Callithrix jacchus: one gene and its partner. The protein of the gene in region 1 purifies or fractionates together with the protein of each later gene. This does not show direct contact. Links are inferred from orthologs where the notes say so. Each region holds a gene or a part of one and is shown in the gene's direction. Other genes may lie near its edges.

Region 1 (3,648 bases):
ATTCCGTTAGGTAGACTCTGTCAGTGACTAAGATTTGTTACTTCTGATATATTATTATTATCAGAATACTAGAAAAATAGAGGAGATAAGGGGCAGTGGTGAGTGGTTAGGATTGATGATTAAACAGTGGAATTTAGAAAGTGTTTCTCTTTGCAGGGAGTATCGGCCTGAATATGAACGTCTGAAAAAATCTCTGGTAAGAAGGGAAGCCATTTGTATATTTTAAAAGGGACATTAAAAAAACCAGCTCAATCCTGATGACATAAGGGCTTTTGTTTTGGTTATTAATGTTTCTTTTATTTAATTAAAAAACTTTCTGTGGCTTTACTGAGGTATAATTGGCTAATGAAGTTTCCTGTATCTTATAAATACTTGTTAATTTAAATTTGTAAATTTGTATGTATGTTGTCTGGGTACAGAAAGGCTCCTTAATTTTTCTTCCTTTTCAGAGGTCAATTTAAAGCTAGTTGTAGAATTTTGTTTAAGAATATATTGCCAGGCGCGGTGGCTGAAGCCTGTAATCCCAGCACTTTGGGAGGCTGAGGCGGGTGGATCACGAGGTCAAGAGATTGAGACCATCCTGGTCAACATGGTGAAACCCTGTCTCTACTAAAAATACAAAAAATTAGCTGGGCATGGTGGCGCGTGCCTGTAATCCCAGCTACTCAGGAGGCTGAGGCAGGAGAATTGCCTGAACCCAGGAGGCGGAGGTTGCGGTGAGCTGAGATGGCGCAATTGCACTCCAGCCTGGGTAACAAGAGTGAAACTCCGTCTCAAAAAAAAAAGAATATAGTGGTGGTTCACAACTCCTTTTTCTGTTAGTGAGAAAGGATCTCAGTCTGTTGCCCAGGCTGGAGTGCAATGGCACAATCATGGCTCACTGCAGCCTCAACCTGCTGGGCTTAAGTGATCCTCCCATCTCAACCACCTGAGTAGCTAGGACAGCATGTGTGTACCACATCCCTGGCTAATTTTATTTTGTATATTTTTTGCACAGACAGGTCTTGCTATGTTGCCCAGGCTGGTCTCAAATTCCTGAGCTTCTGTGATCCTCTCCTCTGGGCCTCCTGTAGTGCTGGATTACAGGCATGAGCCACCACACCCAGCCTTCTCTTATCGCAAATGATCAAGTGTCCTGCTTCCCTAGGCTCGTTGTGTCCTGTGTCTCTGAGCCTTCCTGTTATTTCTACTTCAGAGTTTTGTGTTTTTTCCCCATATAATAAAGTTTATTGTATCTTTTTTTTTTCATTTTGTAGCCTGGGGATGAATAAAAAGTAATGCTTTCTATCTAGGCATTTTCCCTAGCCCGTTTATATGTTCCAGATCCACCCTGGACTCAACTCAATAGTTTGGAATTGAGGGTTCTTTTGAAATGTTTTTGTGTTCAGTTTCTGAATCCTTTAAATCAGTGTGTAGAGCCCTCCAGTCTGAACTTCTGCTGTAACCCAGGTTTATGCTGCTTAGTGTTTCTCTCCTGATACCAGATGTCCCTTATCTGCATCAGTTTTTATGTAGCCTCTGTATGTGTATAATTCTTCATCTCCACTGAGAAGTCTGGCATCTAATTTGGGGCTCCTTTTTGAATATGATGACATTTTTCTCTGTATATACAGGCAAATGCAGAAAGCCAACATCAGAGAGAACAACTAGAACGCCTTCGAAAAGATATGGGTTCTGTAGCCTTGGACACAGGGACTGCCAAAGGTATTGGAGGTCTTCTTGGTGTTAGGAACTAAAAAAAGGTTACATTTATTTCTACTCAGCAGGATTCTATTTATGTATGAGAGAGAAAAAGATAAAGGAAATATGGTTTTAGACATATATATATATACACACACACACACACAACACATATGCATACATATATATTAAAAATAAAGGATTTGGAGAGGCAAACAACTAGAAATTTTATACAGCTATACCACTTTGGATTCCTCTTTCAGGAAGTTTTTGCTTTACTCTGGCAATACACTTAATATGTGCTGTGGGGTTGTTTGTTTGTTTCTAACACTTTTAATCCTCCCCAATTTTTAAATTTTTTTCATTAAAAAAAATTTTTTTTGAGTTGGAGTCTCGCTCTGTCACCCAGGCTGGAATGCAGTGGCACGATCTCGGCTCCCTGCAACCTCTGTCTTCTGGGTTCAAGCAATTTTCCTGCCTCTCCTGAGTAGCTGGGACTACAGGTGTGTGCCACCATGTCTGGCTAGTTTTAACATTTTTAATAGAGATGAAGTCTCATGATGTTGTCCAGGCTGGTCTTGAACTCTTGGCCTCAAGCAGCCCTCCTGCCTTGACCTCCCAAAGTGTTGGGATTATAGGCATGAGCTACTGTCCCCAGCCCACTTTTTTTTTTCTTTAACTTGCTTTGGTGAGCAAGGACTATTTACTTTTATGACTGTACCATGTTGTTTTTTTTTTTTTTGAGACGGAGTTTCGCTGTTGTTACTCAGACTGGAGTGCAATGGCTTGATCTCGGCTCACCGCAACCTCCGCCTTCTGGGTTCAAGCAGTTCTCCTGCCTCAGTCTCCTGAGTAGCTGGGACTACAGGTGCGCACCACCATGCCCAGCTAATTTTTGTATTTTTAGTAGAGACGGGGTTTCACCTTGTTGACCAGGATGGTCTCGATCTCTTGACCTCGTGATCCACCCACCTCGGCCTCCCAAAGTGCTGGGATTGCAGGCGTGAGCCACTGCGCCCGGCACCATGTTGTTTTAATTATGTAATTATGTTCAATATCTGCTAGGTCACATTCTCCTCATAATTTTTATTTGGTTGTCCTTACATAGTCTTCCACATGAACTGAGTATCAACTTTAGTCCCCTAAAAAGCTTTTTGGTATTTTTGTTGGGATTATATTATATTCATAGTTAATTTAGGGAGAAGTGACATCTCTATGATGTTCAGTCTTGTTACCCAAGACCATGGAGTGTCTTTGTATTTGTCAGGTCTACTTGTATCTTTCAAGAATGTTTATGGTTTTCCTCATGGTGGTTTTCCGTATTTCTTTTTAAACCATTTTTGTTATTTTAGCCAACCTTTTTGACCAAGAGTTTTTGCCTGTTTGTTTTTAATTTTTTTTTAAACAATTCATTTTTATTTGAGACAGGGTCTTGCTTTGTTACCCAGACTGGAGTGTAGTGGTGTGATCTTGGCTCACTGCAGCCTCTGCCTCCTGGTTTCAGGCTATTCTCCTGCCTCAGCCTCCCTAGTAGCTGGAACTATAGGTGCCTGCCATCATGCCTGGCTAAATTTTGTATTTTTAGTGGAGATGAGCTTTTGCCATGTTACCCAGGTTGTACTTGACCTCCTGGGCTCAAGTGATTTGCCCACCTCAGCCACTTAAAGTGCTGAGATTACAAGTGTGAGCCACTGCATCCAGCTTGAAATTTATGTATGAATGTATGTTTGCTGTGTATTTATTTTTGAGGCAGAATCTAGCTCTGTTGCTAGAGTGCAATGGTGCAATCTTGGCTCACTGCAACCTCTGCCTCCTGGGTTCAAGTGATTGTCGTGCCTCAGCCTCCCAAGTAGCTGGGACTACAGGCTCGCGCCAACACGCCTGGCTAATTTTTGCATTTTTAGTAGAGGCAGAGTTTCTCCATGTTGGTGAGGCTGGTCTTGAACTCCTGACCTCAGATGATCTGCC
Region 2 (3,648 bases), on another chromosome or scaffold:
AACCTCCGCCTCCTGGGTTCAGGCAGTTCTCCTGCCTCAGCCTCCCGAGTAGCTGGGACTACAGGCACCTGTCACCACATCCGGCTAATTTTGTATTTTTAATAGAGACAGGGTTTCTCTGTGTTGGTCAGGCCGGTCTTGAACTCCCAACTTAAGGTGATCCACATTCCTTGGCCTCCCAAAGTGCTGGGATTACAGGTGTGAGCCAGTGCACCCTGTTTTTTTTTTTTTTTTTTTCATTTTTGTTTTGAGATGGAGTTTTGCTGTCACCCAGGCTGGAGTGTGTGTGTGGTGGAGCAATCTCAGCTCACTGCAACCTCTGCCTCCAGGGTTAAAGTGATTCTCCCACTTCAGTCTGTTACGCTAGCATTGCAGTCGTACCCCACCTCGGCTGGCTAGGTTTTTTTGTATTAATAGAGACCGGGTTTCACCATGTTGGTTAGGGTAGTCTTGGACTTCTGGCCCCAATTGATCCACCTGCCTTGGCCTCCCAAAGGGCTGGGATTACCGTAGTGAGTCACTGTGCCCGGCCTCCAGTGACGCTTCTTAAAGTGTCCTGGGGTGTGACATGTGCTTGTTGGAGAGGTTGGTACCGAGTCACCTGCCTCCCCAGAAGTTCCCAGGGTGGGAGCTGCTCAGTGTCAAGGGTCTCTGCCTCACTCCCTGGTCACTGGGTGACTGAGGGGTGTCAGGCCCCTGTCCTCGTCTCTTGGTGAATGGGAGGTATCAACCCTCTCTTCCCCAGTCCTAGGATTCTGCAACTCAGGCCACGTTTTGCAAATGTGGAAACTGAGGCCCAAGTGGGAGAAGCACCTGTGCTGAGCGGAGCTAGGACTCAGGTGCTCTGCGCTGAGTGGGGCTGGGACCCGGGCGCTCTGCGCTGAGTGGGGCTGGGACCCGGGCGCTCTGCGCTGAGTGGGGCTGGGACCCGGGCGCTCTGCGCTGAGTGGGGCTGGGACCCGGGCGCTCTGTGCTGAGTGGGACTGGAACACAGGCATTCTGTACTGAGGGTGCTGGAACCGGGTGCTCTGGGGTCCAGGTGGGCAAGGGCCAAGAGGGCCCAGGGTGGTACAGGCCGGCATACTGTCCACAGAGGAGCCCAAGGTGGGCATCAAGACCATCAAGGTGTACTGCCAGCGCATGCAGGAGGAGAACATCACCCGCGCCCTCATCGTGGTGCAGCAGGGCATGACGCCCTCTGCCAAGCAGGTGAGCGCCCCACCCCCAGCCCCCACCAGCCTCTCACCCTCCCCAGCCTCCCCTGGGTGGTGCCAGCAGGCGGCCCACATGCCTTGGGCCACGCCAGCCAGGGTGCCCTGGAGGATGTGGCCGGATGTTTGGCAAGCCCCGACTGTCTCCCACCCTGTCCATGGGCCACAGTGCTGAACCCCATCCCCATCCCAGGCAGCTGCCATCCTCCCCTGGCTCTCAGGAGGGCATCAGAGCAGAGGGCACCTTGCCTCTCTCTCCAGCTCTGTGGGCTCCAGCCCTTGGCCTGGTGCACCCTTCAGGACCCAGAGACTCTTTCTTGAGCTGATGTCCAGCGGGATGTGCTGAGGAGGCCTGTCGTGTCCCCCATCTGTCTGTTGGACACTCCTGAACCTCCATGTCCCCCGTCTGTCTGTCAGGCACCGTGAGCCAGGCAGCCGTGTTGCGACAGGCAGTCAGTGGAGCAGCTTGGTCTCTGGCCCACTGGGTTTTGGGTTCACAAAGCCACACAAAGCAGCGCCTCTGTATTGGGAAGAGGTCGCTGTGCCCACTTGAGGGCTGCCCGTGGAAGTGTCTGACGGGTGGAAACACAGCCTCATTACTGCTTGTGACAGGAGGCCCTTGGGATGAGCAGAGAGGCTGGGGAGGGGTGGGTTTTTGAAGGCCCCTGGGCTGGCGGTGGGGGTTCTGATTTACGACATGGGGTGTGTTGTTGGCACGCGAGTAAGCCGCCTGTAGCCTGAGGCAGGAAATGGAGCTGGGGTTGTCAGGGCCCCTCCTGGCTGTGTCTGAGTCTCTCTCTCTCCCAGTCTCTGGTTGACATGGCTCCCAAGTACATCCTGGAGCAGTTTCTACAGCAGGAGTTGCTCATCAACATCACAGAGCATGAGGTGGGTGCCCTGCCCCGGAGCCCCGCCTGTGGGGTCCCAGAGATGCAGGATTGGCAGGTGGCCAGGAAGATGTGGGATACGGGGCTCGGGCTGGCACTCCTGCTAGCACATGGAAGGCAGGGTCCTCACAGGGTGGCCCTGGGCCCGCAGCAGCTGAACCCGAGAACTTCCTAGAAATGCAGGATCCCGCTGGGATCGGTGACTCAGGCCTGTAATCCCAGCACTTGGGGAGGCCAAGGTGGGTGGATGACAAGGTCAGGAGTTCAAGACCAGCCTGGCCAAGATGGTGAAATCTTGTTTCTACTAAAATACAAAAAAATAGCTGGGCGTGGTGGCACATGCCTGTAATCTTAGCTCCTCTCAAAGCTGAGAGGAGGAGGTTGCAGTGAGCTGAGATCTCGCCACTGCACTCCAGCCTGGGTGACAGAGCAAAGCTCTGTCTCAGAAGGAAAAAAGATGCAGGGTCCCAGGCCCGTCCCAGCCTATGGAACAGGGACTGTGGTGCGTGTGGAGGGACCCTAGTGCCACTGACCCAGCAGGAGTCTGGGTCGAGTCCCAGGAGCTGGACAGCAGCAGCCCGTGCTGAGGGCCTCCCAGCTGACCCTGACCCACGCCAGAGGTGTTGCCATGTCAGCTGCCACACTTTGCACTCAGCCCAGAGTGGGGCTTAGCCAGGTCTGACTTTGGCCGCGTTCCTTTAAAGGAGGTGACGGTGTCCCAGCCCATCTACTTCAGAAGCTCCAGGAGCTGTGCCCCTGCAGACTCCACCCCTGCCTGTGGAGCTGGGGTGGGGCAGGATAGGCTCTGAGTGCCGGGTGGTAGTACCTGGGAGCCCCATGGGGTCTGGCCCAGCCCTTGGTGATGTCTGCTGGCCTTCTCTCTCACCAGCTGGTCCCTGAGCATGTCGTCATGACCAAGGAGGAAGTGACGGAGCTGCTGGCCCGATAGTATCCTTTCCAGCCCCGCTGGCCTCTGCCCCACCTGTGCCTCTGGATTTCCACATCCCCCCACCCCCACCCCTACCCCATGACTCCACCCGGCGTTTTCCTGACCCTGCTTCCCAGTAAGCTCCGAGAGAACCAGCTGCCCAGGATCCAGGCAGGGGACCCCGTGGCTCGATATTTCGGGATAAAGCGTGGACAGGTAAGCCTTCAGGGGAAGGGGCCCTGGGGGGGGGCTCTGTGCTGACCACTAGTCGGCAGGGGCTGCTGTCCCCTCCAACAGCCCCCTCCTTGACACTGGGCCCAGAGAACAGCATGACCCCAGGTTCCCAGGGTCAGCATCTCGGGCCCCTGTGGGCCCTCCCCAGCTGGTGTGCTGCCCACTGCCCGTAGTGAGGCCTCAGCCCCTGCGCTCCTGCCCCCACAGGTGGTGAAGATCATCCGGCCCAGCGAGACAGCTGGCAGGTACATCACCTACCGGCTGGTGCAGTAGCCGCCACCTGGACAGGTACCAGCTGTGGGGTCAGATGTGGGGGTGTTCTGGCTTTGTCCACCCAGCAGGCCCCACCCAGTGCTGGGCCATCAGGGCACCCCAGCCCGCACCCGGC

What was found. Proteins that work in one complex are often made in the same cells at the same time.
Region 2: the proteins of GPN1 (region 1) and POLR2E purify together in Homo sapiens (affinity purification with mass spectrometry; 3 studies listed by BioGRID and IntAct, with this or other methods). This does not show direct contact. The link is inferred for Callithrix jacchus from reciprocal best matches to the Homo sapiens genes GPN1 and POLR2E.

What each region holds. Positions count from the first base shown.
Region 1 is NC_133515.1:87,399,786-87,403,433, reverse strand, and holds part of GPN1 (GPN-loop GTPase 1), read left to right. Parts: intron 1-156; coding exon 157-196; intron 197-1,248; exon of another isoform or gene 1,249-1,355; intron 1,356-1,613; coding exon 1,614-1,704; intron 1,705-3,648. UniProt on the Homo sapiens protein: Small GTPase required for proper nuclear import of RNA polymerase II (RNAPII). May act at an RNAP assembly step prior to nuclear import.
Region 2 is NC_133523.1:1,033,721-1,037,368, reverse strand, and holds part of POLR2E (DNA-directed RNA polymerases I, II, and III subunit RPABC1), read left to right. Parts: intron 1-1,093; coding exon 1,094-1,209; intron 1,210-2,018; coding exon 2,019-2,099; intron 2,100-2,987; coding exon 2,988-3,046; intron 3,047-3,163; coding exon 3,164-3,242; intron 3,243-3,467; coding exon 3,468-3,533; 3' UTR 3,534-3,548; intron 3,549-3,648. UniProt on the Homo sapiens protein: DNA-dependent RNA polymerase catalyzes the transcription of DNA into RNA using the four ribonucleoside triphosphates as substrates.